Linked DNA regions of Danio rerio. The protein of the gene in region 4 interacts with the protein of the main gene of each other region in a pairwise test. Links are inferred from orthologs where the notes say so. Each region holds a gene or a part of one and is shown on either strand. Other genes may lie near its edges. The genes, in order: bend7, vapb, trim23 and usp20.

Region 1 (7,750 bases), on a different chromosome or scaffold from region 4:
TGAACAGTCTAGGAGATGCATATAGAAATTAGTCTCAGAAGCAGAAGAAGTTCATGTAGTATAACAATGTGCTGGCTTTCTCAAGCCACCATAATTAAGGGTGCTTTCACACTTGGTTCATTTCCCTGGACCATACCCAAGTTCGATTGTCCGCCCTTGCCACCTTCTCGATTGGTTTGTGTTCACACTGTTTTTTTTCCTTCTGAACCCCGGTACGCTTGAGTCATCGAGCTGCTGTTTTGTTTAGAGCTGTTGCTAGGTGACGGTCACGAAAGCAAGCGCCGAAATGGAAAGATGTCCACACATTGCGGTCATTTTGCTTTTACTGAACCTTTTGGTTCTGGACATGCAGAAAGCGTCTCGCACACAAATATTATACACATTCAAAACATCACACAGTGTCTGCAGGAGCTGTTTTTGGAGGAGACAAACAAAAATGAATACAGTGTTTGCCCTGGCTCAGTCCCGCTTGTCACCAAGGTACGATATGTGACACACACAAACAGACACACACACGCACGCACACCAACACACACACACACACACACACACACACTAATGAACGTTATAAAAACGATAGTTTGTTGTACAGTTGGCTGTGTTTGCCCTAACTCAGTCCCGCTTGAATCCAAGGTACGAAACGTGACACACACAAACACACAACACACACGAACAAATATTATAAAAATTATAGTTTGTTGTACAGTTGGCGGTTCACTTCTGTTATTTGGTACGATTGTATTCACATCAGAAGTGAACTGTACCTGAGTTCGCATGAACCGTACCCCAGACAACCCTTTCAGGCGGACTCGAGTATGGTTCACGGGTGCACACCCGAGTTCAGAAGACATGTTCACACTAGCTAAACGTACTGTACTTTTTCAAGTGTGCAAACACAGCACTGTGAAGTCCCAGCCTATGGACTATGAGTGTGTGTGGCATTTCAGTCTATTGGCTGTGTGTGTGGTGTCCCAGTCTTTCAGCGGTGAGCGCGTGTGTTTTCAGTTATAGGTTGGAGATGAGGAACTGGTACACAGGTGCCGCTTGTTGTGACATGGATTTAAAAAGCGCTTGGTGTGCTCTCCATGGAGTCAAGTGAGGAATTCTGAGCGATCGCCTTGGCATGGAGCTTGGTTAAGCCGCGCTGGCCATCCCTTTGGGCCCTGACTCTTCTTTTTCATTTACCTTATATTATTTATGTCATGGTTATGTTAAAATAAATGTTATTTTTTGCCCTTGATGGTTGCGTCTGGTCCTCCTTTTTCTTTGAAGCTTAAGAGTCGCTGTAACAGCACCTTGTTACTTTAAACAAAAATAATCATTAAAATTAGGAATTAACTAAAATGACATTTTGCCCAAACACACACACACACACACACAACCATAAATCGCAAATCAAGAGAATTGTTTCAAGAGAATTTTCAAGTGCTCTCTGTGGTTTTCACACATTCAGATTCACCTCAGTGTTGTTTTGTCCTCCGCTGACGCTGTAGTGAGGGGAAGTTTTCTTTACAGTGGGAAAGTGGTCTGGTGTAAATGTAGCCACAGTGGAGGGCGTGTCCTCTCTGGACTGATCACACTCATTCACAGCATCCGCAGAAGGGGAGGGGGGCGTGGCTCTCTTTGTGGGCGTGACCAGAAGAGCCACTCTGTGACCCAGCCTCCTCTTTCGGCTCCTCCTCCTGGAGATGGAGGTTCGAGACGAGGAAAGCGAGACGTGAGAGCCCTGTTTGTCCTGCAGCCCTGAGAGCACAGCACAGCATAGAATACCACGGGTCATTTTTCACTCACATTCTTGTTATGATAATCTTTGTGTCATTTTTTGGTGGTCAAACGAGCATCAATGTGTGGATGCCAAATAGACAGCAAGGTTTTTAACCTGTTTTTTGATGTCGTTGATGATCCTACTGGGATAATGCATTTAAGGCTGGTCAAAATCTTGTGACATTTGCTTTAATCTGCAAGATCCTGAAGGGTCAGTCTGAGAGCACATGATTGAGTGTGTTTTACCTCTGTGAGTTTGGAGTAGTTTCCTCATGGTGCGCAGCTCCAGCAGAATGGCCTTCAGGGTGCTCTTGCAGTTGCACATACAGCAGCTGGGCTCTGTTGCCATGGCAGCAGGCGCGGGGGGCAAGGCCATGTCTGAATCACAAACACATATGCAGCATCAGTGGCGATGTCTGACACCCGGCGGCTCCAAGCACGTCTGACTCCGGTGTGTGTGTGTGTGTGTGTGTGTGTGTATGTATGTGGCTCAGGCTAACTGTGAGGGAGGTTTTGTGTCTTTTATTGTGTACTGAAGGAGGACATTACGCATTTGCTGTGTTATCCAGAGCTGTCTAGACATGTGTCAGACAGTGCATCTTCCTGCAGCCTGTGGTCACAAAATGCAAGGTTCAAGTAATGTCTTACTGTTTTTAGCAGAGGCAAGACTTAAAAATCATGAGATAAAATAAATAAATCAGTCATTTCTATGTAGTTTAAGTTGGAGTACCAATAGTTGAAAGAAAAAAAACACACAACAAAATTAAATGATGAAAAACATTTAAAGAAACTCTAAATATTAACTATATATATATATTTAGAATTTTTAAAATGTAAAATTTAAAATATCATTATTTTCATTCATTTTCTTTTTGGCTTAGATGCTTTATTAATCAGGGGTCGCCACAGCGTAATGAACCGCCAACTTTTTCAGCATATGTTTTACGCAGCGGATGCCCTTCCAATCGCAACCCAACACTGGGAAACACCCATACATACACGTTTGCATTACACACATACACTACAGACAATTTGTTTTATTCAATTCACTTAAAGCGCATGTCTTTGGACTTGTAGGGGAAACCGGAGCACCTGGAGGATACCCACACTAACACGGGGAAACATGCAAACTCCACAAAGAACTGCCAACTGTTCCAGTTGGCGTTTGAACCAGCAACCTTCTTGCTACCCACTTAGAATACACCCAAATACAATATATGAAAGAAGGCATACAAATAAAACTACTAAATTAAGAGTTCATATTTTTAAACATGAATAAACACAAATAAATTCTATAATAAATCATTTATATTATCTAATTTATAAATCATTCTGTCATTATTATATTACTTAATAATATAGAGTAATAAACCAAAAATTGCAATATTTAGGTTGAAAATGGACTCTTTCAGGGTTTTAGTTATTTGCCAAGGCAACATTTGCAATTTTGGTTTAGTTTTCGTAGAAGTGCAAACATTACTACAACTGAAAATGACTAAAAAAAGACTTAAATTAAATAAACAACAGAAAAAAACAGAAAAACACATAATACACACTAATTAATTAAATAACTAAAAACAATATAAAAAATTAAACATGAATTAATGATATAATACCACATAATGCATTATAATAATAATAATAATCATCAATGTAGCATAGTGGGATAATAAAGGGACTAGACCAAAGAAAAATGAATGAATGAATGAATGTATTTAAATATGTATACAAATGTAATTAAAATACTTGTCTGAAGAACAGAAGGCTTACAAATATAAATACTAAAATAAGACTTCATATTTTTAAATATGTATAGACCAGAAAAAATTCTAGAATAATTTATAATATTGAATAAATTATTATTTCATTAGTATATTACTTAATTAATGATAGACCTTGTACTTGAACCTTTTGTGGATTGCTTATCATCTAAAATCCTAACAACTTGTCTTAAAAAAGTATATTTACTCTTTCTGTATTGTAGTTATTTGTCAAGTTTATATTAAGAATATAAACTTGACAAACGGCAGAGAACATTACAAACACTGAAAATAACTAAACTAAAAAATAAATATAATCAAAGAAACAAACAAATAAACACCAAAACAACAAAATAGTCTGAAATTAAATTACAAAATATGTAAATAAATGAAATCAGCAAAATGCCATAAATGCCATATTAAAAAATAATGAATTATAATAATAAGTTACAAAATGCTTAAACTACGGAAGTGAGGATTTATGAGCTATTATAGTGACAAATGACATAATAAAAAATTATATACAGTTTAAGTCATAATTATTAGCCCCTCTTTGAATTCTTTTTTTTTTTTTTTTAATATTTCCCAAATGATGTTTAACAGAGCAAGGAAATGTCACAGTATGTCTGATAATATTTTTTCTTCTGGAAAAAGTCTTTTTTGTTTTATTTCAGCTAGAATAAAAGTAGTTCTTAATTTTTTAAAATACATTTTAAGTACAAAATTATTAGCCCCTTTAAGCTAACTTTTTTTTTGATAGTCTACAGAACAAACCATCGTTATACAATAACTTGCCTAATTACCCTAACCGGCCTAGTTAAGCCTTTAAATGTCTCTTTAAGCTGTATAGAAGTGTCTTGGAAAAATTCTAGTAAAATATGATTTACTGTCATCATGGCAAAGACAAAATAAATCAGTTATTCGAAATGAGTTACGAAATCTATTATTTGTAGAAATTTGTTGAAAAAATCTTCTCTCTGTTAAACAGAAATGGGGTAAAAAATAAACGGGGTTAATAATTCAGGGGGGCTAATAATTCTGACTTCAACTGTACATAAAAATAAAATAATTATATTCATAAGTTCCTAAATGATGATACTAAATGCTTAAACTACAATAGGGATTATTTATGAGCTATCATTATTACTGTGTCCGGTCCTGGTCCTGGAAGACCAAAGTGAGAATTTAACAGCAACCAGCTACAGCAAATCTTTCTGAAAGTCTCTAATAACAATTTGCATGTGTTGAATTGGGAATGGACAGGTCTGGACACACCTCTGGTCTCTAAGACTCACCATTAGTTTTGCAGTGGTTGAGCATCCTCTGTGTTTTGGATCGAGTGCTGTACTGGCTTTGAGAGAGAGGCATGACTGAGCTCCAGTTGTACTGCAGATGTTCAGGGGTCGCGCTGTGTATCACAGGCTGGCTGAGGTTCTCCTCTTGGGGCTCCTGCTTGAGGGTCTCTCCCTCTCGTCCCACTCGCTGGTACACGCGTCCCGTCTTATCACTCAGCAAGCGCATCATACCGGTTATTTGTTTCTTTATCTCCATCCCTTCATCACCTAACCAGACTGAGAGACACAGTTAATATACAGAGCCTATATAAACATGAACAAGTACATTATGGTGAATTACAGCTACCTTCACTCTCTGCTGCATCCAGAGGTTCTGCTTCAGTGTCATTCTGATCCACGTCATCCATTTCATGGCTAAAATCTGAACCAATCACAGTTTGACATCAATATAAGTTATATAACATTGTACATTAAACATATATAACATTAATCTATCTGTCTGTCTGTCTGTCTATACAATGTCAGTTCAATATCATGTCAATACAATAAAATATTACAAATATATGTTTAAAGTGATGTGATCAGAAGTGACTGCAAAAATATATATTTGATAAATTTCCATAAAGATGTAAAATATTCTGTTAAAGGTTATCAGAAAGACATACTAAATCAGGGTTGTCAAACGTACAGGCCGCGGCCGGATCAGACCTGCAAACAAATTTAATGCGGCCATAAAGGCAAATTTAGCGAGATGATTCTGTGAGCTGCAATTTTTCAATAAAATATACTGCTGTTTCAATTGTGTCATTTCGCGTAATTTGCGTAATTTCATCCGACCCAGAAGCCTGACTCAGTGTCAGTTTGACAGCCATCTCTGAGAGAAAGACCACATCAGTACCCTGTCATCCCCATATACTGTAAAATATAGGTCATATCACACCAGTGCTTCCCACACATAGACTTTACTTGGGCGGGTCGCCCAGGTGTATTTGGTGGTGACACATGAATTATACTATTATTGTCATCCTTTTTTGTATCCGTCCAAGAAAACTAAACATTCGCGATTGATTAACCAGTGGAAAATGTTCTTTAGCTCTGCACGTTTCCTACTGCTGGTTCTGTGTGTATGCGATCTGTCACTCACACAGGAACTCTTACGTGCTCTGCAGCCTTTTCCGCCAAAATGCATCCGACCGTAGTTTCTGAATCTCCTAAAATGTCCAGGATTCAGGTTTTACTTTTGCTTTCTAAAGGTGCCGTTATTTGTATGCATTTTTGCATTACCATTTTGCAGCTGACTGTGCATGCACAATATATATGAAATTTAAATCAATAATTCATTTTTATAGACGCATATACAGTTTTCAGTCTTCATAACTAGCAACTGCCTAGCAACCACCTAGAACCCCCTAGCAACTGCCTTAGCCACAGCCATATCACCCTGCAGCCCAAGACCAGTTACTTACCGAAGCTAAGCAGGGCTGAGCCTGGTCAGTACCTGGATGGGAGGCCAGATGAGAAAATTGAGCTGCTGTTGGAAGGAGATATATTATTGTGGTCGGAAGTAGTGTTAGTCACAGGCCACAGGCCAGCAGGGAGCGCTCAACCTGTGGTCTGTGCCCCTGTATTAATGCCCCAACATAGTAAAGGGGACACTATACTTGTCAGTTAGGGCTGTCTTTTGGATAAAATGTAAAAAAAACTGAAGTACTGACTCTCGATGGTCGATATGGTCGCGTAACCCCGGTGTTCTGGCAAAGTTCTCTCCATTGGCCCTTACCCATCATGGCCTCCCAATCATCCCCATCCACTGCACTGTCTCTATCCAGGGTTAAATTTGTGCAGGAACAAGCTGGAGCTGGATTCGGCACCTCTGAAATCTGATCTGGCATTTTAGCGATCCCCTTCCTTGCACGCACCCCACCCCACCTCTTCCTGCCCGGTAAAGTTTAGATCAGGTACACGGCCGGCCGGAAGTGCGATATGCACATCAATATAGCAGCATTTTTTTTTATGACGCTGTATAACAAAAATTCATGTGGCGGTTGGGTTGGGCATTAAAAATACAATTTATTGAGTAATTTAATAGAAAACATAAATAATACTCACACAACTACTGTTTTTACATTATTATGACGTTAGGGTTTAGGGTTGGGGTGGGTAGACGTTAATAAAATACAATAAACCTGAAATTTAATAAATAATATAAATAATTCTCGTTAACTTCCAGCCACAACCATATCTAACAACAACCCACCCTCTGAGCTCTTCACTTTCTTCCGCGATTCGCCAACCCTCTTCACTTTCGTCCGCGACACCCCCACCATGCTCTTGACTTTCGTTCACGAGCACAATTAATCTGTTTTAGGGTTATTTTTTCTTCTTTACCAGCTACATCACCAGCTATGAGTGTTATGATAGACCTGAGACGGTTTATGTCATATGAAAAACGTTTAAGCATGAAACATTAAAGTATTTACATTTACATAACCATTTATACATGAGCAAATAGTTTTTTTAAACACATTAAACACAAAGACAATATAACCAGCAAAACGTGGGACTTTCAGCATCTTTAAACAGTCCAGCATGAAACACTGCACATGCTGCATTTTATCCTACATTTAAATTTAAAAGCAGTTTGTATGAGCTGAGTATGATAACTATATAAACAACAAAATGGTCTTAAACAGCTTTTTATGAACGCCGCTCGACTCTTGCTGTGATGTCACTCAGAGCAGCAGCTGTAATGGTGACGTATGAGCGGTGCAGATGTGATGAAGTGATGCTGCAGGACCACCTGTAGACTGCGTGACTGTGAAGATCTTAGCACCATCACATTCACGCAGCAAACGGAGCTTTCCATCACACTTCAACAAGAGCGCGCGGACAGACTAAACGCATTAGAAGACACAGTAATAATAATAATAA
Region 2 (8,479 bases), on a different chromosome or scaffold from region 4:
AACGAGCTGGGAAATGGGGATCTCAGGCACAGTTCAGATAGCCTAGAGTGAGTACACCCTTAAAGACACAAACAACTACAAATTTCTCTGACCCGAACTTGACATTTTCAACAGGGTTTAAATAATCTGAAGGGTATTTTGACCTGAAACTTCAGACACATTCTGGAAGACTTATAAAGACTTATTTTGCATCATGTAAAAAGGCCAAAATTGGAGTCATTTAAATTGTAATCTAGGCATGAAAATGAACTGTTCACTTTCTAGCTTCTATCCTGACAGACAACCATTTTTTACTTCCTTATTTCAGATGTATGTTTATAGAGAGTTCAAAGTAATAATAATTTCCCTGAGATGAGAAATACTAGAAAGAAATTTGAGATCAAATAGTGTGTAACATACTCATTTCTGAGCATATACAATTTTAGATGATATCAAAGGCTTTTTTGCCCATTCCCAGCACAAGCAGCTGATAAAATGTATAGCTTGAATTTTGTATAAAAGCATCTATCAAATGCATAAACATCATGTTGCTTTCTCTAAATCCTGTCATCATTTACTCACCCTTATATCATTCCAAACCCCGTGTTGTGAACACAAAGGAATATATTTTGATGAACGGTGGGAACAAAACAATATTGGAGTCCATAGACTACCATTGTGTGGACACAATGAGACATTTAAGAAACGTAAGAAACACTGAGGCATTTCTCAAAGTACCATTGTTTTAGCTTCCGCAGAAAAAAGGAGAAACAGTATTGGAATTACATCAGGGTGAGTACAATAGCAAAACTGTAATTTTTTGAAAAACTAACTTCAAGTTTTGCATGAATATGGGATGGCTGGTGAAATCTGATAAAGTATTTATTCTGCTTATACTATAAAACGTGACTATCATCTCATAAAACAGCCTGAATGGGTCAAACTGGTGAAAAGTAATGACACTTATGTCATTGGATTTCAAAGTTACGATGAAACGGAATGACCATTATGCCAAACATTCAAATGTAATGGGAGAAAAAAAGTAAATTAGAATAAGCAGATCTGCAGGTGCAGAGTTTAAGCAGACTAATGAGATTTTTACCCTACAAAGGTAGAATAAAAGCATTTACACAGCAATTATATATATATATATGATACACTTCAATACTAGGGTCTGAAGTGGATTACAGCTGGCATATTTTAGTCAGGCTTTTATGAATCATGTGATTCTAGAGAGTTATGATCGGGAACAGAGCATGTAAACACAACACATGTAAACTGCCTGACAAAAGCCTAGACGTCGAGCACAGCTGTAAGAGCAACAAATAATAACTTGAAAAGAGGCAGGAGGTAGACTTTTCTGATGAATCATCTGTTGAACTACATTTCATACATCATAAATCATAAATACTGCAGAAGCCCTCATGGACCCAATATTTTCATAGATATCAGTCAAGTTTGGTGACGGAAAAATCATGGTTTGGGGTTACATTCAGTATGGGGGCGTGCGAGAGATCTACAGAGTGGATGGCAACATCAACAGCCTGAGGTATCAAGACATTTGTGCTGCCCGTTACATTACAAACCACAGGAAAGGGCAAATTCTTCAGCAGGACACCACTCCTGCTCATACTTCAGCTTCCACAAGTTCCTGAAAGCAAGGAAGGTTAAGGTGCTCCAGGATTGGCCAGCCCAGTCACCAGACATGAACTTTATTGAGCATGTCTAGGGTAAGATGAAGGAGGAGGCATTGAAGATGAATCCAAAGAATCTTGATGAACTCTGGGAGTCCTGCAAAAACGCTTTCTTGGCCATTCCAGATGACTTTATTATTAAGTTATTTGAGTCATTGCAGAGATGTATGGATGCAGTTGTCCAAGATCATGGGAGTTATGCAAAATATTCCTTCTGTTTCCACTGCACCATGACTTTATATTCTATACTGTACATTATTTATGTTAAGTGACAAGACTTTTGTCTAAGCAAAGTCAGACCTTACTGTCCTAATGAAATAATTAAAAATTAAGGCATGATCATATTTTATTTTGGTAATAAATAAATAAATAATAAAATAAATTAAGAGTAATCTAGAGGCCTTTGCCCTTCATATAAGCCACTTCGGATGCCAAATAATCAACTAGAAGTCAAGTTATTATTTGTTGTTCCTAAAACTTTGATAGGTGACAAGCTACTTTTGTCAGGTAGTGTAAAGCAGTATCATATTTAGTGGTAAGGTGACATTAGTACAATAAATAGACCAGCATGCAGTCAATAAATCATTGTTAAGGGTCTATGCTGTGATTGTGAACTTCACGAGCTAGTGTAAGGTTAATTCTTATGAAAAACAACATGTTTTCAAGCTGGTTTGGCTCACAACGGCTTTGCTTCCAAAAGAATGTGTTCCTTGAAATGTCAAATATGCGAATTCTCATTGGATTAAAAGATTCTTATTTCAAACACCAACATAACTATGACATTATTATCTATAAAGTCGTATGAACTTTGAAGTTAGATAATAATACAGGTGTTTGATGTCTTCCTGACTGGGAACAGCATCAAGGTAGGCGGCCAGATTTCTCCATAAAAATATTAAACATCTTCTGTACAATTAAGCCAGAAATAAACAAAATACATCACACAAACAAGCATTCAAGTTGTTTATTCCTGCTTATGGCAGGAAATACATCTTGTAATTATCTGACCATGAGGAGAAATGTTCAGAGTGGATCAAAGAGAGAAGTAAATGTCACATAATGACAAAGAAAACTATTAAGACATGCATGTGGGATAAACAAAATGTTGCTACACAGTGTCATAAAAAACCCTCAACAGCACATTTTGTAAGTGACAGCAAAACACAAATGCAACATCAAGGGCATGGCAACATTGGTTGAACTGCTTCAGTTCATAACCAAATTAACCAACCCACCAATAGAGCGGTGTGTCAAGGCCTAAACAGACTAGCTGAAGCTAATGTCCTTGTCAGTCTTCTGCTAAACTTAGAACTACACATACTATTGACATTTTAAAAATTATGGCTTTCTTCTATGAGGGGATCATGCCACAAAGGCTTTTGTTTATAAAAGAACAAGACAAATACAAGTATCCCAGAAATGATGAGGAATGTAGCCAATGATATGGCGATTTAAAAGCTTGGAAAGTCATTCTTATTTTGTGAGTCTTATGGATCAGCTGATTGACATGGGCATGAAGTGTACAAGTGAAACTAGCATTAGTCTGTTTAGTGATAGTAATGTAATGATAGTCTAAATGACATTAACCTAGAAATCCTGTAAAAAAAAACAAATATGTAAATGGAAAATGATTTAATTTTAAATGTCGACCAAAGACCAATGTTTTATCCAAAACACCAGAATAGCTTTGTTTATGACATTAGTATCAACATGTCCACGTCATGCTGAACTTTGAAGTGGAATAATAACAAAGGTGTCTTCAGACTAACGCTAATAACTTCCTGACTGGAAGCAGCGTCAAAGGTAGGTTGTCAGTGTTGCCAGATTTCTCTACATGCTAGCTATTCTGACAAAAGAAGTTAAAACATAATAATAACCAATTGCTTCACCAAAAGAAACCGAAACACATCAACCCAGATTTTCATTATTGCAATATTTACAATAACAACTCTATCCTGCAAGCGTCTGCATAAGGGAAAAGATTAGCAATTGCCTTTGACAGCTCGCTCACAGCGGTCATTCAAATGGAGAAATCATCTCACAATGATGACAGAGATATATCATGACATGCACACACACTACACGTAGGATAAACACGCATTTCGCTATTGTATTATGTAAATAAGCAAATAGTGAGCACATCTGATTAGCGACATTTTACATGCGGACATGGCAACACCGGTTGAACCGCTTCACACTAACCGAATTAACCAGCCCACCAGCAGAGCCTGTATGTCAAGGCCTAAATCAAGCTAGCTCAAGCTAACACACTTGTCAGTCTATACAACAAACCACAAAGCGAACACCTTATCGTGTCACATTAGGTGTCATTTTAGCGGAGTTTGAATAATAAACCGATTGAGAAACACACCGCTGCGCCATAATATTATTATGATTACTCCAAGCACCGAGGCCTGCCAGAAACGCCATCTCGCCGCCTCCTTCAGCCCCCAACCACTAAAAAAACACACCCGCTGACCCTCCCTCTTCATCCAGGGCGTTTTATCCGCAAGTCCTCGTCAGTGTGGGGCTTTCTGGACTCACCTCGGAACCTGAGCTCGTGCTGCGGTTCCAGCAGCAGGACCTGCTCTGGCCTGGCCATCTCCCACTGCAAACGCTCGGACTGACCGCTCGGACTGACGGGGGCGACGGGCTTTGACGGCGGAGGCTGTAGTCGATGAGGACTTCTGTTACATTTATCGAAATAAAAAACTCCACGCGGCAGTGGAAATAGCTCAGTGTTACCCGATCCGCCAGCGACTGTTGTGATGCAGCAGGAAGGGACTGTTGGAGAGAGAGAGGGAGGCTGGCCGTGACGTCACTCCCTGCCCCTGCAGTATGCACTCAGTAGTGGCGACTGATGTGAAGGGTGGAGGTGCTGATCTTAATGGGTCATCTGTGCATCTTCAACACTGTAAAATATACTGTAAATGTGTAAATCTTATAAACTTTACAGGTAATTTAACTATGAATCAATTAAAATGATTCATTCAAATTCGTAAAACTCAATATTAAGTTAGCTTAAATACTTAAAGACTGATTGTGTTCAAACAATATCACCTATATACTATATAACTGCAGGTTAACTATGTTTACATATAATACCTTAATTATATAATAATTCAGTGTTAAACTAAATTAGCCGTAGTGCAGCTGGAAGGGCATCCGCTGCATAAAACATATGCTGGAATAGTTGGCGGTTCATTATGCTGTGGCAACCTCTAAAATAGAGACTAAGCCGAAAGAAAATGAATGAATGATTATTTTAAATTATTAGTAACTAATAAAGTTATGGTAACTAATAACCTAACTTTTCTGATTTTGAATGTAAAGCTGCTTTGAAACAAAAAATATTAATGAATTAAAATTATATTAAAATAGGTAACTAAAAAAGACTGATTAATTATGTTAATATAACATTTAAAAAATGCTGTCGTGACTTTTGATCATCTTTTTACACTGCATGTTATGGTAACTTTGCAACATGTGATGACCTCTAAAGAAAGTTGTACTGCTTTGCATGTTTAATAATTGAAAATAGTTCTTTCATTCATTCGTTCATTTTCCTTTGGCTTAGTCCCTTTATTCATCAGGGCTCGCCACAGTGGAATGAACTTCGCCAACTTATCCAGCATATGTTTTACACAGTGGATGCTCTTCCAGCTGCACTATGGCCGATTTAGTTCATTCAATTTACTGAGAGCGCATGTCTTTGGACTGTGAGGGGAAACCAGAGCACCTGGAGAAAACCCATGCCAACATAGGGAGAACATGCAAACTTCACACAGAAATCCCAACTGGCCCAGCCAGGACACGAACAAGCAGCCTTCTCAACAGTGCAAACCACTGAGCCACTGTGTCGCCTAAACATAATTATACAAGAGTTTTATTACTGTATTGTAAATACATCTCACTAAAACACCTGTATTTCTCTATTAGTCTCAATGAACAAAAGCATTATTCACACAAATATATTTGGGATATTTCTGAATATATTTTAGAAACATGCTATTATTGTGTCATAATTATTTTTTTTCACCTTTCAAAATGTTAAAAATGTAGCTGAAACTTTGAAATAAAATATTTTTAATAATGTATGCTAGTATACACTCAATGGCCGCTTTATTAGGTACACCTGTTTAACTGCTCGTTAATGCCAATTTAAATCAGCCAATCACATCGCAGCAACTCAATGCATTTAGGCATGTAGACATGACCTGAGAAACTGCATGAGAATGGGGAAGAAAGGTGATTTTCATGCACAACCATCTCTAGGGTTTACAGAGAATAGTCTAAAAAAGAGATAATATTCAGTGAGCGGCAGTTCTGTGGGCACAAATGCCTTGTTGATGCCAGAGGTCAGAGGAGAATGGCCAGACTGGTCCCAGCTGATAGAAAGGCAACAGTAACTCAAATAAGCACTCGTTACAACCGAGGTATGCAGAAGAGCATCTCTCCAACCTTGAGGCAAATAGGCTACAGCAGCAGAAGACCACATCAGGTGCCAAACCTGTCAGCTAAGAACATGAAACTGAGGCTACAATTCACACAGGCTCAGCAAAACTGGACAATAGAAGATTGGAGAAATGCTGTCTGCTCTGATGACTCTCGATTTCTGCTGCGACATTCTGATGGTAGGGTCAGAATTTGCCATCATCAACATGAAATCATGGATTCATCCTGCCTTGTATCAATGTCTCAGGCTGGTGGTGGTGTGATGGTGTGGGGGATATTTTCTTGCCACACTTTAGACCCATTAGTACCAACTGAGCATCGTGTAAACACCACATCCTACCTGATTATTGTTGCTGACCATGTCCATCTCTTTTTATGACCACAGTGTCCCCATCTTCTGATGGCTACTTCCAGCAGGATAACACGCCATGTCATAAAGCGTGAATCATCTCAGACTGGTTTCTTGAACATGTCAATGAGTTCACTGTACGTAAATAGCCTCCACAGTCACCAGATCTCAATCCAATAGAGCATCTTTGGGATGTGGTGGAATGGGAGATTCACATCATGGATGTGCAGCCAACAAATCTGCAGCAACTGTGTGATGCTATCATGTCAATATGGACCAAAATCTCAGGAATATTTCCAGTGCCTTGTTGAATCTATGCCACGAAGGATTACTAGTAAGGTGTACCTAATAAAGTGGCCGGTGAGTATGTGTGGTTATGCATGCATTTTAAAGATACACCACAATAAATGCAATTAAATGTTTTTATAAAAAGACATAATTAAAGTTAAAAAAGTAACCAAAATGCTTACATTTATCAAACATCAAGTTATTCATATACTACTGAAATATAGTCGTACTTCTCTAAAGATTTTGACTTTTTATGTAGATATTAGAATGTTTTTCAGATTCAAATAAAAAAATGGCAAATCAAATTGTAAAGGTTGCATAATGATGTTGCACTCTTAAAAACAAAGGATCTTTATTGCCATACAAGAACATTTATCATCTGTCTATTTCAAGGTTCTCTGCTATTTAAAGAAAAGGTTTATGAAGGAAACAAAAATGTTCTTTAATAGCATTAAACTGCTATTGCTGATATATTATTTAATAGAGTTTGTTCCTCAAAAGCAGTGCAAAAATCCAAAGGAATCTAAGAATTAACATGAATTAGGTTTTCCCCAGCCAAGTTTCTAGATCGCATTGTTAATTGCAGAATTAGCAGAGTTAATTTATGCTCGGACTGGCAGTTCTTAAAGGGCCGCTCGTTTTACTTTCCTCAGCACAATTAAAAGATCAGCACAGACCCCCTGCCAAAGGAGACACATACCACAAGTGTCATATTTATATATATAGCCCAGCAGCCAGCGCAGAACACATCCACAATCCCTCTGAACTCAAGGCAGACATTTGCACTTTTCTCCGATTGAATTTAAACCAATACAAAAAATAATCAGTGCATTTTAAATTTCATATCATTTTATTATTAATAAAGAGCCGAACAATTCCCTTTTGCACATTCACAAACGAACAAAAAACATGTTAATTCCAAGCCTTCTCCGCAAGACAAAATAATAGAGACACATAGATAAATGACAAAAAAACATTGGTTAATTTACGTCTGTGTATGCTGAATTACATTGGCAAGCTGTGGTAAAGTATATAACAATTGCCTGACTGCATCTCTGTTTATTTACACAGTTCATCCAATGTGTGGTATTATCTACAAGGATGTAATTCACAACTTTCTTAGGGCCAGCCCAAGACTGTTGGCACTGCTTTTCAACCTAAACGACCAATGCAAACTACACCAGACAGCACATCGAAGAATCCCATTCAAGTGTAGCATGTAGATCCATTCAAAGACATTAATGCAAAGCCTGTGTTCCCCAATAAGCAACTGGATAAGTGAACCACAGGTTTTGCACAAGGCAAAATATTTTTACCATTTCAATGCATCGTAAAGGCCCTTCAGTGAGATTAATAAATGAGAGATGTTTCCTTTTGTGATCAGCTTGACATGATGGAAAGAAAACCTTTGTTTGAGAGAAAGATAAATTAGTTTTTCACAAAAGCCATTGAAAGAATACGTTTGAAGGGTTTTCTCTGTGTTAATGCCAATAGAGAATAAAAGTTCAACTGTAAATAAAATACAGTAAAATTTACAGTAACTTACCGTACGACTGTAAATTTACAAGCACTCTGTAAATTAGTAATTACAATTTACTGTAAAAATTCACAGTAAATTAATGGCAATTTTATTTGCCAGTAAAACTGTAAATTTCTAAATGCACTAAAATAGTAATTACAATTTACTGTAACATTTACTGTACTTACAATTTTA
Region 3 (8,343 bases), on a different chromosome or scaffold from region 4:
CTTTCTCCGCTCGCCATGCTGGAGAGAAACATTATATATATATTTTTTTTGTATTTTCAAAACATTTCCAGTCAAATGCTTAATAATTCTTACATTATTACATATTTTAGCATAACATGTGTGACAAAAATCAAAAAAGCAAAAGGAAGGAAAGAAAGAAAAATAAAACAAATAAAAAACAGGAGTAGGCATTACCATAGAGAAGAGGAGTTTAGCTGTTGAAGTATATTCACAGTCCTGGTTGTTTTACGATTTTAAAGTCCTTTAAGAGTCTCAAAATAAATTTTTTAATCAGCCTTGAAATGAAAGATGTTAGGCTTTCTCTCCGTTCATTTACATTTGTGTATATGAAACTTGCCCAATAATATCAACAGATTAAACATAAACAGGAGATTCTTATCTAAATCTTTTTTATCTGTAGAAATATGACATCGCTTTTCTTAATAATAATTCTATGACCCCTCAGTATATTAAATAGACTTTCAACATCAAACCAGAAATATTTAACATACATACAATCAAAAAACAAATGCATCATAGTCTCAACCTCCATTTCACAAAAAAAACACACGATTCTGAAAGATCAACTTTATACCTCTTGAGAAACTGGTTAGTTGAATATATTTTATGTATAATTTTAAAGTATATTTCACTGACTTTATTAGTAACACAATACTTATTGTTATAGGTCCAAATCAAATTCCAATTAATATTCTCAAATTGGTAATTCCAAAAGTACTTGTGTCTAAAAATTGCAGGACAATGAATGAAACTTCTTAGAAATGTATTATTACATTTTCTATCTTTGACATCAACACCATCTAATAAAATCTCATTTTTAATTGTTAGCTTATCTAGTTCACTGTAACCCTGCAAAAGCCTTACCAGGCCTGCTGGTATTGCATCAATTACAATACAATAATCTCGTGGGGGCACTGGAAAAATAAACTTCTCTAAAAATTTTGTATAAGTCAGTAAATATCCTTTATCATTCACAATAACTATGAGACCAATAGAATATCTTTTTTTTTAACCCAATTATCAAAGAAGATTGATTTGTTTTTATATCTGACAGTTTTATTATTCCTTATCATTTGTTTATGGGGAGAAAAATTGTGTTTGTATAGAGGTATCCAACATAAAAGAGCCTGCCTATGAAAATTAGATAACTGAATGGGAAGTTTATTAATCTCAAAGTCACACTTCAAAAGAAACCCTAAACCACCAAGTTTTTCAAAAATAAGGTTTGGGATTATACACCATATTTCATTTTTGTGCTTGATATAATGTTTAATCCAATTCAACTTAAAAAAATGTATTGGAAGTATCAAAATCAAGCAAATTCAAACCTCCTTGATTATATGAATTACATAAAATATTTCTATTTAAATAATGAGGTTTGTTTTTCCATATAAAATTAAACATCCCTAAATAATTTTTTTTAAATAACGGATTTTGGTACATCCAATACTTTAGCAAGATACACCGATTGTGATAAACTTTCAGTTTTAGACAAAAAGAGTTTAAGTGATAAATCCCTCATGAGAGAGGAACAGTCTGCGCAAATGGAGCGCAGAGTGGGTGTCATCGACTACAGCTCTCGTCTGATTGGCTGAAAGGTACGAGTTGCCCTGCCTCTGGCAGGACAGTCTCAAAAATACACACACAAGTATCCAGGGGGAGTCGTACGTGAAAGAGGATTTGCACATTCTCATTCAGGATGAACTCGCAAGTTTTAAACATTCAAAACTTTTTGTACACTCTTATACATTTGCAAATTGTGTTTTGCATTTGTGAAACGTATTTTATGAAAATGCATTTTTATTTTGTGCACGTGAATTTTTTTTGTGAATATAAATAAATATTTTACGCAAGTGAATTTGGTTTTATGCACGTGAATTTGGCTACGCATGTGTACATCATGTCTTTTGCGTGAATTTCTTTTGAGACTTATCTGATTCCATATTAATCCATCAACATATCACTAAAATGCAGTATTTAAATCTCGTAGTTAAATAGAAAACTGAGGCGTATAAGTGCAAAAAGGTCCACTTTTTGAGAAAAAAAGAACCACCCCTTTTACCAGGCTGGCTACAGGCCTAAATAGTCCCCAGAAAATTACAGTTGGTCAGATGTTCTCAAATTTTGTTGACTGAAAATTGGTGTTATTCCACCAAATATTGATTTTTCAACTTTCTAAAGCTGTTGATGTTTCCTCCAAGTTTAATGTGTATTTTTTGTCATTTAGACACATTTTAAATAATAAAAAAATAACAAAAATGCAATGTTTTGAAACATGTTTATTTTCACTTTAAGACAACACTATACAACGTTTTAACTTCATACGAGTCAGTTAAGCAATATTTGGTAAATTAACCCTAATTTTCATATGTATTTATTTCGGGCTGTAACATTTGATGAGCGCGTACTCGCACAGGAAACAGCTGACAGACTGATCCACTGTTATACATGGGTGACAGAGTTACACGATTGGTATAATTTAATTGAGACATAATACAAACATTCGCGATACAGCTTAAAAATATAATTTTAAAGTAATTTTTATTACCACATGACAGCCTAAAATAGAGCTAAATTACTATGCCATGTTCACACTAAAGTGTCATTAGATGGTTCAGTCCGAGGATGGCCGCTGCTGTCGGTGTAAATAAACAGGCGTCGATGGAATCGTGTGTGAGACACGGCCGAGGAACTGCCGCTAATGCGGTGAAGGTATGATGCATATTAAATAAATAACAACTATACTAGATGTTTAGCTAACAACGATCACGTAAGAGACGTTATTTTTAACCTGTCTAGGTGGAGTTCAGTGAGATTCTGCAGGGCGTTAGCAGGCTAATGATAGCATCATTCAAAACTGTCACAGCGTTTCTTACATTAAATAAGATGTCACACACCTATTTTTAAAACGCCCGACACTGTAAAAAACAAGTCGTAAGTATGAAAAAATGTGTTGTATTGATAACTCTGCCGTTATTAAATGAGTTGTGCAGAATGGGTTAGCCGGCTTGGCTAAATGATCAACTGGTCCATAGAAAGAGTGTGAGCTTCATATCTTCAACACTTTTATCATTTAACGTCAACTAGAAAGCAATTAGGAGATGTAGTTATAAGTTATGGCTGAACATAAGGCAATAGGTCTAAATGTTGCAGAATTAATGACATACGTCATGCTAGTTCCCCCAAGTTTATTATAACATTCTTTCGATATTAAATTAAATGTTAGCTTTTATGAACGTACGTATGCGTTTTGTATAATATAACAATTGTTATTATATATTATAATATATAATATAAACGTTTTAGAATTTAATTTTATTCTTTGTTTTTGCTGAAATATTTTTTCAAATAACAAATAAATTGTAATTAACAAAAGCTTAATTGGCTTTTTGAATGAGAAGTTAATAATTTAAAATGAAGGATGTGATGATATTCTTCATTATTGTTATGTGCATATACTAGTGATTCAGCATGTTAAAAATGTGGGATGGGACTTGATTTTGTCAGTCTCAAACTAATTGAAGGATTGGTTGTTTGTTATTTTCTATTTGTGGACATCATGTAAGTTAAAGGCCTGTCTTTTTATTAAAATAAAATTCACTCAGAAATGTCTACACAAATAATAATCTGCAACATTTCCTGTAAGAAATACATGTTTTTTTTGTTGACTTAAAGGTGTTGGAGTGTGGTGTGTGTGAGGATGTGTTTTCACTACAAGGTGATAAGGTACCACGACTGCTGCTGTGTGGACACACGGTGTGTCACGACTGCTTGACACGACTGCCTCTCCACGGCAGGGCAGTACGCTGCCCCTTTGATAGACAGGTCACTGAGCTGGGTGAGTTTGCCTTTCTGTTCACTATAATAACAATGTAACTCAATATTTAAAAATTTCCATACTGGGAAGAATCATATTCTTGTTTTGCTCTCCAGGAGACTCAGGTGTGTGGGGCCTGAAGAAGAACTTTGCCTTGCTAGAACTGCTTGAACGGCTACAGAATGGGGCAACCAATCAGTCAGGCATGTCGGAGGATGCGCTTCGTGAGATGGGAGAGGTTAGAAGTGTACATTTTTCAAATTTACAGTTTTTTTTTATATTAGCAATATAGCTACAAACAAAAAATGAAGTATAAACATGATCTAATGTGCTGCATTTCAGATTCCATACCATCTGTCCTAAATGGATCTCTAAATGAGTTTAAAAACAAAATCTTGGCAGTGATTATGGGGATAGAATCCTCTTTGTCCAACTTGTTCCTCCTTACACTATGTGGTTTTTAATCATAAGTTTATTTTAAAAATGGCATTGTTTTATGCTTTTCTGTAGCTGCACAAGCACAAACAAGGCAAAAAATGTGTTTTAAGTGCATTTGCCATATTTTGACTTTTTTCCACCACTGTGCTTTGGTATAAATAGCCGCTCTTCTCTCTTATGCATAAGCAGAGGCGGACTGGTCATAGGGAGCACCGGGACATTTCCTGGTGACCTGACAGTCAATCTACCTACCACTGTGACTCTGGCCTGCCGTCTTTCAATTATTGATCTCTTATACCCCCTCACCCCTGCTATTCACTTACTGATCGCTTTCCAACCGGGAAATGGGGTGGGCTTCGCAGCATCAAAGGCTAAATATACAGCGCGAGCGGTCAGGAGCGGAATTAAAAACTGGAGGGAGTGGGACTAAAAATTCAGTTCCACGCAGATCTCTACCGTAGTTTAGAAAACTCAAAAGTTTTAAGACTGACAAAATTTTCTGCTCTACTGTTCCTACTGTATATGTACGTTTTGTTTTTTACATTTTGTTTTTAAAACAATAGTATCTCCAGCAGAAAATATCTACAAACATGCCTTTTCAAGTTACCACAAGAAATCTTTGTTTTTGAAACTAATGAAGATAGCAGAAAATATTATTTAATAATAAAATTTATTGAGGCGTCCTTTTTGTGAGCCCATTAAATATATTTAAAATACTGATTTATTTTATCATGCAAACAGCAGCATACAAAACATAAAAGAGCAACTTCACGCACCTGCATTGTTTCTAACAGCATAGAAAAAAAAAAGAATAAACTAAATAAACAAATAAACAAGCCTGCCATAGATATCTTTCACCTAAATGACAAATTTAGATTACAAAACGAAAACACTGATTGTATCCTTTTTAAAAACTGGCATAGGCTGTTTTTTCCAATGTTTTTTTCTTCCGTCAAACAAAAATATCAGACTATTAAATCGAATGCTCCACTGAAAATATGCATTTAATTAATGCTTCGTTGTATATTATGTCACAAAACCCTTTTGACCATTTTAATAAAAGTCATTAGTTTAAAGATTGTCAAAATTACTTAGTTCCCTATTTCACTTGCAAACAGCATTAGCACTGGTTTGTGTCAACTTGTTTGTGTCAAACTTTGACTAGAAATATTCTTCTTTCATGTTGTTTTTTTGACAAAATATGTCTAGACACGAGTGGTTGCATGTGTTATCATTCCGCAAGGTAACAAATATTTGTTGCACATCAGGTGCCAATCACAGCAAACGCGCTTTTCCGATCCAAAAATGCAAGGCGCACTGCACTGCCTTTATGTTGACAAAAAAAAAGAAGCGCAGTGCTTTTTTTTTTTATGTCACTATAGGAAGCGACTGAATCAGCTGGTCTATTGTGCGCGAGTGTTGCTGTCTTATGTTGTTATCATTTTAATATATGGAATAACATAATTTGTAAAGTAATCTGCCTACACCTCTAGATAACTTGAAACTGCAGCCACAAGTCTCTCCTCCATCATTAGTTATCTGTCATCCTGACAACACAAACACTGGAGGCACCTCCGTTCAGGGTTGACTTTTATTTCAACTGCGAGCACACAACATAAGCAGCATGCAAAACAGTTAATAAACCCTTTAAAAAATGTCCTTCTCAACACAAAAAGCGCGTTCATTGTGATTGGCCCCTTATGCAGCCAAACTTTAAAAATATATAAAATAATATTTTTTAATCGTTTAACCGATACCATTAATCTATTACAAACACACCATTTCGGTAAGTGGTTAATCGAAAATTTTAAACATCCCTATTTCAAAATATATAAAGTCTCTCAAAATAAAATATATTGTGTTCAAAGGGAAAAAAGATTTAGTTTTTTACCCAGACATTTGAAAGGAACATATTTTAGAGGTGTAATTACACCTTGAGGTGTAATACCGTAAAACTGTGAAAATGTTTATTTGTGATATTTTTATACTGGCCCATGCATAGTTTGCAATAATAACATTTCCTACTTGATGAATAGTAATGTATACAAAGGACACAGTCGCTTGTAAACTTGAAGTTGTCGTTAGTAGTAAATCATTTCTCTGTGGACATATCCTAGTGTAAGTGAAATTTCTGGTTTGAGCCCAAATTTTAGCTTGTTATATTTATTTAAATTGTCTTATTAATAAGAGTGAATGTTAAACGGAATTGGGACAAAATGTTTATTCTTTTTTTGGTTTGGACTAAAAGAAATGAAATGCATCAAGAAAAGAGAAAAAAAAGTGAAGCAAATAAGTGTGAACACACCTGACTCTGAAGTCATTCGTGACTGTAAGATGTCCCAAAAAGTACATTTGTTGAGAAAAAATAAATAAATAAAAAATCTAAGTATGTATGTACTGTGTGTTTGGTATGCTTTGTTAATTGCACTTTATACTATAAGTTGAAGCAATAAATGCAACTTGTGTTTTTAAAAAATCCAGTAACAATATATCCATTAATTCAACATACGACACTGTCGTATACTCACACAATAGCCCCTTTCACACATACAGACCTTTCCGGAAAATTACCGGCAATTTTCCGGAAAGGTTGTATGTGTGAACAGGTCCTTTTTGAAAATACCGGTAAATTCGTTCTGGCTATTTTCCGGAAAGAGAAGTTGTAACATTACCGGCAATTTGCCGGAATGCTGCGCTGTGTGAACGCAGAAGGAATATTTCCGGAATAAGCGCGTGCACGTCTAGAACGTGCTGACGTAAGACTTCTGCTTTAGCCAATCACAACAGTCAGACGCATTTACGTCCGCGCGGTTTGTGAGAATAAAAGCCTTTGAATATTTTTCCAGACGCATTTAGCTGCTAGAAGTTAGTCAGATAACGTTTATATGTTCTCCTTAATGCCAACTGTGCAAATAATCATCGATAAGATGCTTATGATAAGCCGTTGTTTGTTTACCTTCAAGCTTTGCGTGTGCCCATGAAACAGCCTGTGAGCGGCAGCACACGCACATATTATGAACATCTCGACATGCGAATATGATCCTGTGAAAGTTGTTTACAATATTGATCATCAAAAGAGTTTGTAATTTAGTCAAATGTTTACAAATACAAGCGCAGCCGTTTAAAGCTCATTTGTGGTGAATGATGTCAGAATTTACCGGTATTTTGGAATGGATGTGTGAATGCTCTTTTCCGGAAAATTTCCGTAACGTCCTCGCCTGTGTGAACAGCACTTTTTTGAACATACCGGTAAAGTCGTTCCGTAAATTTTCCGGATATTTTCCGGTATCACTGTGTGAAAGGGGCTAATGAGATGCTTTCATGATGAAGTTAATGTTGTACTTAATTATATTGAAAGTAAAGGGTACTCCAGGATAGAACTTTTACAATTATGAAAAAATAACTATATATCTAAAAACCCAACTTTTTTTTGGTTGTACTTTCATTGTAATTTACAAGGGTGTTTTTTTCCCCCATGTCTCAATTAGTGCATAATCCGCTGTGATGAGGATGAGACTCACACTGCCTCCATGTACTGCACGGTTTGTGCTACGCATCTGTGTGCCGAGTGTTCCCAGCTCACCCACTCCACCCGAACACTGGCAAAGCACCGGCGTGTGCCACTGGCAGACAAACCCCATGAGAAGATGCTCTGCCCGCAGCACCAGGTGCATGCCATTGAGTTTGTCTGCCTGGAGGACGGCTGTCAGCCTGGACCGCTCATGTGCTGCGTCTGCAAGGAGTACGGGAAACATCAAGGGCATAAGGTGCACAATTTAGTTTATAACACAATTTAAAATTACATGTTAATGTTTAATCCCTTAACATGATTATAAAAGCATGTTAGAATATTCAAACAAAGGTGTTTACCAGAATAAATTCATCTTTTTTTCTATAGCACTTTTACGGTGTAGATTGTGTTAAAGCAGCTTCATAGTTGAAGTTGTAATGTACAGATGTTACTACTTCAATGTGTTCCTTGTGCCGCCATTCATACCGCGGCGACAGCGGTACTTGATGCGCCAGCAGCATTTGACCGCTGGGTGGCACTTTAACCACAGATATTC
Region 4 (7,750 bases):
AGTCTTTCCTTCAGCACAAACCTACATACATTTGTAACCAGTCATTATGAAGTCAGCCTATGGCTCTCATTCGCTCTCCATGGACATTTTCTAATTTGATCCTCAAACTCTGTACTTATAAATGAGGCCTGGTAGAGTTTGTTTTGTTGACGTTTTGAGAAAGGGCTGTTTTCAAAGGCACATCTGAAGGAAAAAGACGTTCTCTCAAGCTAATACAGTTAAAAAAAAAGATATTTAAAAAACTGTACTAGGATATTGTTATGGTTTATTTTTAAATGTATTTTATTACTTTTTAATAATGTACTTTTTTTTTCCAATTTAAACTAGGGATGCTCATAATAACTGATTTACCATTATCCGAAAAGGTGCGTTTTTAACCAATTACTGGTATCAGCTAAGCGATTAAAAATATTTTTTTTTTTTATTTTTTTTTTTTATTGGCTGTATAAATGTGAAACACATATTTGTTAACTGGCGGTACTGTAACACGTGCAACCACAAGTGCCTACAGACATTTTATTTTGCCAATGAAGCAAAATGAAAGAAGAATATTGCTGGTCACAGTTTGACACAGACGAGTTGATGCCAAATCCGTGCTGATGCTGATTGCCTCTGTCCTGGATCCGCCTCATAAACATCTATGTTCATTTACACAATTGGAGCAAAAAGCCGCAAAACAAAACTTTATGAAATGTACGCTGCTTTGGAAACAAGCTGTCCACAAGTTGGAGCATCTAGATTTTCTCTCCATAAGAGCGCGCTCCAGCCTGCTCATAAACAAAGCAAATAGGCTATAGTTGTGAGGATTTAGTGTACAACCAACAAACAAACCTTTTTTCCTCTTGGAAAATTGCAGTTTTTAACATTGCTTATAAAATATCATTTTTTATATTACATAATCTATAGCTTACATAATCTATGAATCAAACAAATCCGAATATTTTCTTGATTTGTGCATAATGATAACTCCGCACAAAATTGAGGCTTTCATTTTATAGCTTATAAAATATGTATGCAATTAATGTAATAACATAAGTAAACAACAAAATTGCTATATGCTATAGTAGCCTATACTTTACTAAAAGTCCACATTTGAGCCTTGTCATTGTCTGTCTTCACATGCAGCGAGTGAGAGGAAAAAAATAGACGCTCAAGACATAATCTTTAAAGTAATGACTTCTATTTAAAAAGTTGACAGAGGTTTGTGATATAATTATAACAGGGGAGCATTATTTAAATGCATATTTTCCGTTGAGTGATCGATTTGAGGTTGCCTGCTATTTGTATTTGATGGAAGAAAAAAAACATAATGGGAAAGAAATAACCTATGCTGGTTCTTAAAAAGGATTTAGTCAGTGTTTTCGTTTTGTAATCTTAATTTGTAATTTATGTGAAAAATATCTAGGGCAGGCCTAATTTTTTTATTTTATTTGGTTTGTTTTTTTCTGCTGTTGGAAACACTGCAGGTGTGTGAAGATGTTCTGTTGTTAATATGTCCTGTGGTTAATATGTTTGCACGTTAAAATAAATCAGTATTTTAAAATGCAATATTTAATGTGTCAGACACAAAATAGACACGTCAATTATTATTATTTATTTTTTTTGTTAAATAATAATTTAATATTAATCTGACCAGTTAACGGTTAATATTCGGTTAAAGAGCAGCGGTTGTCGGTTGGAAAAAAGAACAGAAATGAGCCTCTCTTATATAAACCTATTTTAGGAGTCTAAAACACAAATAGGACCCTTTAAAACAGTATAATAGTGGCACTATAAATCTAAATTGTATCCTATACTCACATTCACTCCATTTAACTTCAAAACAGCAAAAAATACATTTTTAAAAATTAAACTTTTTTATCCATATAATAAATACCAATAGAGACCAAAACCAAATAAATAAGAATTAGTAAAGGATGACAGGATTATAACATATAACTAAACTATGCCTTTAAATGCAGCATGAAACTCTCTTTTTCTTGTGTATTATAAATGCATCCATCATGCAAACGAATTAAAGTAAGGTTTAATTTAGTAATTCAGGAATAGACTGGGTTGTTGTCATTTGCTACTTGCTGTGATGGACTCATGAGAGAAAAGTTAGAAGAGAGCACTGAAATTCAATCAGTCATTGGAGAACCATATTTCTCACCCATCATACTGGTTTACATGTTGTCAGAAAAAGTTGTGGCATTGTAAGGAGTAAGACATGATAATGTTTTTGATTACAGATAATGATTACATACTGACATTTGTTCATATATTAAACTATAATACTACAAACTATCACACTATAAATGTTTATAGTATGATAAACTGTCATACTATAAATATACTATAAAGTCCAAATGATTTAACAATATAAACAAACATTTAAAATCCTCCCTCAGAACAGTGAACTAAACACCAAAGACCTGGCTTTCTTAATTTTGCTGCATATTATCTCGAATAACATAAATGAGTAGCAATCCATGTTTGTTAACATGCATGTTACTACAGTATACGAGTTTGCATGAGTGTGTACCATTGTCTTTGCCCTTGACAAAGTTCTCCCATTCTCTGAACCACTGCATGCTTATACAAAGGATGACGGTAGGAGCTTCTTCAGCCTGAAACTCCTTATTTAACTATAGATGGAGAGAGAAAACAGAAAGAGGGAGATAATCATTATCAACTTTAAACTCCTTTAAACACTCTGAGCATTAGTACTTTACTGTGTTATATTTACTACAGTTAAATGCTGTATTTCATGTTTATATGTCGCTTTCAAACATGTTGAACTACAAACAGGATCTTCACATATCTTCAGAGCTTTACACCGTGTGTTTTTAATGTTAGTGATGCACCTATCAGATACTGCACCCTGATAAGATTCCAGTGCAGATCACACTCCTGATCAGTAAAGTATGCAGTCTGTGTTTCATCAGTTCTCTGGCTTTACAAGCAGCAGACACTTCCAAGAACATTATGCTCCTGCCAAGTGAGGTTTCCAGTTGGTTATTTAAAAATGCTGTGGATCTGAGTAAATAACTTAGAAGTGCTGTTCATTTTGTTCAACTGATTATATGGTGAAAAATATGTATCGATATATTTTTTTCACGGTTAAATCATTATTATTAAATGGGAATTTAATATTGTTGACAAAAAAGACAAGGCTAAAATGAATGTTTCTTAAAATAAACGTTCCTTTGTTTTGTCAAAGAGAGAAGACTAAATGCTGATGCCAGATGCATTGGGTTTAAATCCCCTCAAATTAGCTTTTTTCATCAAAGGATAGGGTGTTTAACTTAAAGGATTAGTTCATTCAAAAATATAAATTCTATCATTAGTTGCACCCTACTTTTATGGTAATTACCGGAGACGAATGAAGATATTTTAGATGAAAGCCTTGACCTCTCTAACCTTCCATAGACAGCAGATGGAAGAATAGATGTTAAGAATAGGAACCAAAAACATTTTCAAAACATTCTTTTTGACTTTAATGGTTAGACTGTAATCATATGAAGCTCCAAGAACACTTTATTTATTTCAAATACCAAATAAAAATGTTAAAACAACTTTGTTCGCCTGTATCTTCTCTCCTGCATCAGGTCAGGGCACTTACTACAGGCATTACTAAGGCTATTGTCAGCAGTGTGACATTCAAGCATCATATTGCAATGAATGTGCACCCTGACCTGACATGTAAGAGAAAATATAGGTGAACAAAGTTGTATTTACAGTATTTTTTGGTGTACAGAACTGTTCTTGGAGCTTTGTATGATTACAGTTTAACCCTTGACGTCGCATAGACTGCTTTCCCTATGTTTTGGGTTCCTTTTCTGAACATCTCAAAACCATTGCTATATATGAAGGATGAGGCTCTCGGATTTCATATAAAATGTCTTAATTTGTGTTCTGAAATTGAACAAAGGACTATAGAACAACGTGAGGGTGAGAATTAAAAGGGTAAGCTTATCCTTTAATCTCTGCAATATGGCAGCTAGTAGAATATGGCTTGTAGTGTGAGTGTAAAGTGCGCCCGAGCCCGAAACTGAAGACGAGACATGAGATGTGTTTATTAATCATTCTTACTCTTCAATGAATGCAAACTGTCGGAGTTTATTAAAGACGCAAACCCCTCACTGCACCACAGCTGCACTTTCAGCAAACCTCCTAATTCCTGCAGCACGAGGACTTCATGATTATTTATGAGCGTCAAAAGTGGCGGATCTGTTCGGCAAAATATTTGACTGTGTTTCACTGCATCCCAAACAACTAAAACAATATAACTTAAGAAATCTCCACTGTGCTGAGCAAGAGCACTTCTGAACAGCGCATCATCGATGATGCAAGCGTGCCCAGGCCCGAATTTAATGTGAGTGCGGGCCGTCAGGGGAGACGGGAGGAGGGACAAACGTGCTTCGGCCCGATTAAAGGCAACTGTAGATAGTGTGCGTATGCCCTAATAGAAAATGGATATTGACTGTACTGTTTTTGAAAAAATTGGCATTCTCTTAATTTTTGCTCAAAGGTGAAAGCGTTATAATTGGCTGAAATTATAAATAAAACAAGTTGAAATAACAATTGTCACAATCATTATTTTGAGTAAAGCAATTCTATTATGTAGAACTAAAAAAAGTGACTAGTTTTTGTTTACTAACAACTAATTTGAGATATCGTTGAATAAAACTTGATCAAACAAAAACAGGAAAAAGGTTCAATAAATATGATTAATACTAAAAGTAAATTTTATGCAGGACTAAATGCTGGTTTATATACGATGTGTCCGCAAATTCGATTGGGTGCACATGGCATCGATTGGGTGCAATGTGACACCATCACAGTGTTGGCTGAAGTTGACTTTGAGTGCGCACAACATCATTTTGGCACTTGGTATGTGCAACATTTTTCGTAACTTCGCACACGGCTCCACATTCAAAGATGAACCACTTATAGCTGAGTCTGGCCAACTTGTGTGAATATGCGAATATTTAGAAATCCAAAACAACTTCTTTTGAAGCTTTAAAGAGAAACAATGCATGTATTTTGTGCACAGGTTGCCCAAGATTTTTTAAGTAAATTATTTTTATATTTATTGTGCAAAGGTTTTGCATTAATTAAGCAGTTAGCTTGGATGTATAAAATGCAGCACAAGTTACTAATTTACTAATAATTTTATTTAAGTTACTGAAAACAATTTCATTTTATATACAATTAATTCATTTAACAACTCCAATCCCTGACTATTTTTTCGCCACTGTCGTCAGGGCAGTTATTCCAAGTCCCTCCCCTGTTGTTATTAAAAAATAGTACAATGGCAATAGCATCAAGCATGAAAGCCTCGAGGCAAAACTCACGGCAGTCAATGGAAGGTCTCGCTGCAGACCCAGGCAAAAGTATAAATCATCCTTTAGGCCAAGACAGCAGTTAAACCCATGTAGTGTGTTCTCACAATATAATTTTGATGCTCAAAAACAAGGCGACATGTTAAAGTCTGAGGCATTTGGCTGTTCATGAATGCCACTTCCTATTTTAAACATCACACTCACAGACAGGAGTTCTGTAATTCTGTAATGGTCATTTGTTCACCTTAATGAAGGTGTCTATCTCCAGTTTCCGTCGTTTGGCTAAGGTCTCGATCTCCACTTGGCAAATTGCACACACATATAAGTGATTCACAGCCGGGCCACCTCCAAACCTGTGAAAAATATTTCAAAACATGAGGAATTACACAAGTATGGCCAGTGAAAAGAGCAAACACATAACTCAACATTGTTTATATTGCACGGCAAGAGGAGTTCCTCGCACATGACATCAGGCAGAAAACCATTCACATTTTTTTTAGTTCAGCATTGGTTTTGTTGACTTGACAAGATCAAATGTTTAAGTATCATCCCATGTTCTAGAAGGTAATAAATGTTGAGGACGTCCAAAAGGTCAATTTTGTGCATTGCTATGTATGACTCACCTGTTGTAGAGATATTCCCACACATTTTGAGGAAGGATCACAACCAGATCATCCACATAATGGTACTTCGTAGGAGGAATTCCTGTAGAAATTAATATATCATTTTAGTTTCCACTGCTACAGCAAGTGAAAAAAAATAATAATAATAATATATATGCATACATATATGTGCAAACTATGAACAAACTGTTTCAGCTCTATTTAAACCATCTAGGCTCAAAGTTTAAATCGCATGGTGCAAAAGTATTAAGTCCAAATCCACCTTTGCTATTTTAAGAACGAAAAAAGGGGTATGCGCCACGGTGCATAGGCTAACAGGTTTATGCTTATTCTCTTAATGAGTTATGGGTGTGTTTTGAGCACAACGTGCATTAAACCAATCAGAGTCTAGCCCTCCCCTTCAGTTGTGTCACACCATGGCCCACTTGCTATTTACATGGCAGACTTTGTAAGTGGAAAAACTGAACACCTCCTTGATTCACCCTCTTTACTTTAATTCTACTCTTTACTTTACTCCTTTACTTTCGTGGATAACAAAAGGGTGTTGTAAGGACTCCACTGAAGACATACATTAGCCTACATATTTAAATTTCATTTGTTAAGAGCCAGGATTTGTTTTAAAACTATTTCTAAAATCAGTTCTAATTTCTACAAATGAATAAAAGAAATGAATAAAAGGATAGTAAGTGTGGTCAAAAAACAAATCTGAGCTTGTTTTTATTAAAAGAAATTTAAACATGCATATAATCAATAATACTTATACTAATAATAACATTATACAAAAGCAAATTGTCCTGAATAAACTGAAAAAGCCCCCTGAGATGAAGAAGGCATTGAGGCAGTGGTTTTTATATTGATGTAGAAAATAATAATTTTTGTAGCAATTTTAATCCTTTAATTCTTTTTCATTTGCTAAGATATTTGCATATTGCTGTACATTCTGTGTGTATTAAGCAATGTGTAGGCAACGTGCTTAAGGTGCTCTGCGCTGGACTTTAGAGCAGCTTTCAGTTGGCACAGTCTATTTTAGTTCCTCAAAAAAGCAACGTGCAAACAATGCACCTTAACACACCTCCTTTCTAGACAAGTACACATACAAGTCCACAAAGTGGCGCAAATTAATTTACTAAATTAAAATAGCAGCAAATTGCGCCAAACAGGTCTTGCACCTTATTGTGCCTGGTGTGATAGGGCCCTTTGTCATAACTTCCACATCACAACATTTCATGTGACTTCAGTGGTTTAACTGTAATCATATGAAGCACAAGGAACCCTTTTGAATGCCAAAAAATCTGTAAAAATCGCTTTGTTTGCCTGTCTGTGAGTGCGTGTTTAATTTGGGAAATATGTTAATATGCAAATATGCCACAGCCATATCACCCTGCAGCCCAAGACCATTTACTCACTGAAGCTAAGCAGGGCTGAGCCTGGTCAGTACCTGGATGGGAGACCACATGGGAAAACTAGGTTGCTGTTGGAAGTGGTGTTAGTGAGGCCAACCTTTGAGTCCTAATGCCTCAGTAAAAGTGAAGGGGACACTATACTGTCAGTGGGCGCTGTCTTTCAGATAAGATGATAAACCGAGGTCCTGATTCTCTGTGGTCATTAAAATCCCATGGCACTTCTTGTAAAGAGTAAGGGTGTAACCTTGGTGTCCTGGCCAAATACCCTCTTGGCCCTTAATCATTATGGCCTCACAATCATCCCCATCCACAGTTGTATTGTGGATGCTGCACACTGGTGGTGGTGTTGTGGAAAGACTCCCCTCCTGATTGTGAAGTGCTTTGGGTGTATGGCCAT

Evidence for each region.
Region 1: the proteins of usp20 (region 4) and bend7 interact in binary tests that used the Homo sapiens proteins (3 or more experiments, as listed by UniProt). The two-hybrid records come from large-scale screens. The link is inferred for Danio rerio from reciprocal best matches to the Homo sapiens genes USP20 and BEND7.
Region 2: the proteins of usp20 (region 4) and vapb interact in binary tests that used the Homo sapiens proteins (3 or more experiments, as listed by UniProt). The two-hybrid records come from large-scale screens. The link is inferred for Danio rerio from reciprocal best matches to the Homo sapiens genes USP20 and VAPB.
Region 3: the proteins of usp20 (region 4) and trim23 interact in binary tests that used the Homo sapiens proteins (3 or more experiments, as listed by UniProt). The link is inferred for Danio rerio from reciprocal best matches to the Homo sapiens genes USP20 and TRIM23.

What each region holds. Positions count from the first base shown.
Region 1 is NC_133193.1:9,571,326-9,579,075, forward strand, and holds part of bend7 (BEN domain-containing protein 7), read right to left. Parts: 5' UTR 7,147-7,750; coding exon 7,077-7,146; exon of another isoform or gene 6,590-7,076; coding exon of another isoform or gene 6,535-6,589; intron 6,351-6,534; exon of another isoform or gene 6,348-6,350; coding exon of another isoform or gene 6,318-6,347; exon of another isoform or gene 6,286-6,317; intron 5,241-6,285; coding exon 5,166-5,240; intron 5,096-5,165; coding exon 4,820-5,095; intron 2,143-4,819; coding exon 2,011-2,142; intron 1,744-2,010; coding exon 1,460-1,743; intron 1-1,459.
Region 2 is NC_133181.1:52,213,516-52,221,994, reverse strand, and holds the start of vapb (vesicle-associated membrane protein-associated protein B/C), read right to left. Parts: upstream 4,533-8,479; 5' UTR 4,276-4,532; coding exon 4,218-4,275; intron 1-4,217. UniProt on the Homo sapiens protein: Endoplasmic reticulum (ER)-anchored protein that mediates the formation of contact sites between the ER and endosomes via interaction with FFAT motif-containing proteins such as STARD3 or WDR44.
Region 3 is NC_133185.1:12,493,319-12,501,661, reverse strand, and holds the start of trim23 (E3 ubiquitin-protein ligase TRIM23), read left to right. Parts: upstream 1-2,622; 5' UTR 2,623-2,646; coding exon of another isoform or gene 2,647-2,733; intron 2,734-3,696; coding exon of another isoform or gene 3,697-3,859; intron 3,860-3,954; coding exon of another isoform or gene 3,955-4,076; intron 4,077-7,764; coding exon of another isoform or gene 7,765-7,780; coding exon 7,781-7,894; coding exon of another isoform or gene 7,895-7,965; coding exon 7,966-8,043; intron 8,044-8,343.
Region 4 is NC_133180.1:33,938,325-33,946,074, reverse strand, and holds part of usp20 (ubiquitin carboxyl-terminal hydrolase 20), read right to left. Parts: intron 6,033-7,750; coding exon 5,951-6,032; intron 5,681-5,950; coding exon 5,572-5,680; intron 2,628-5,571; coding exon 2,525-2,627; intron 1-2,524.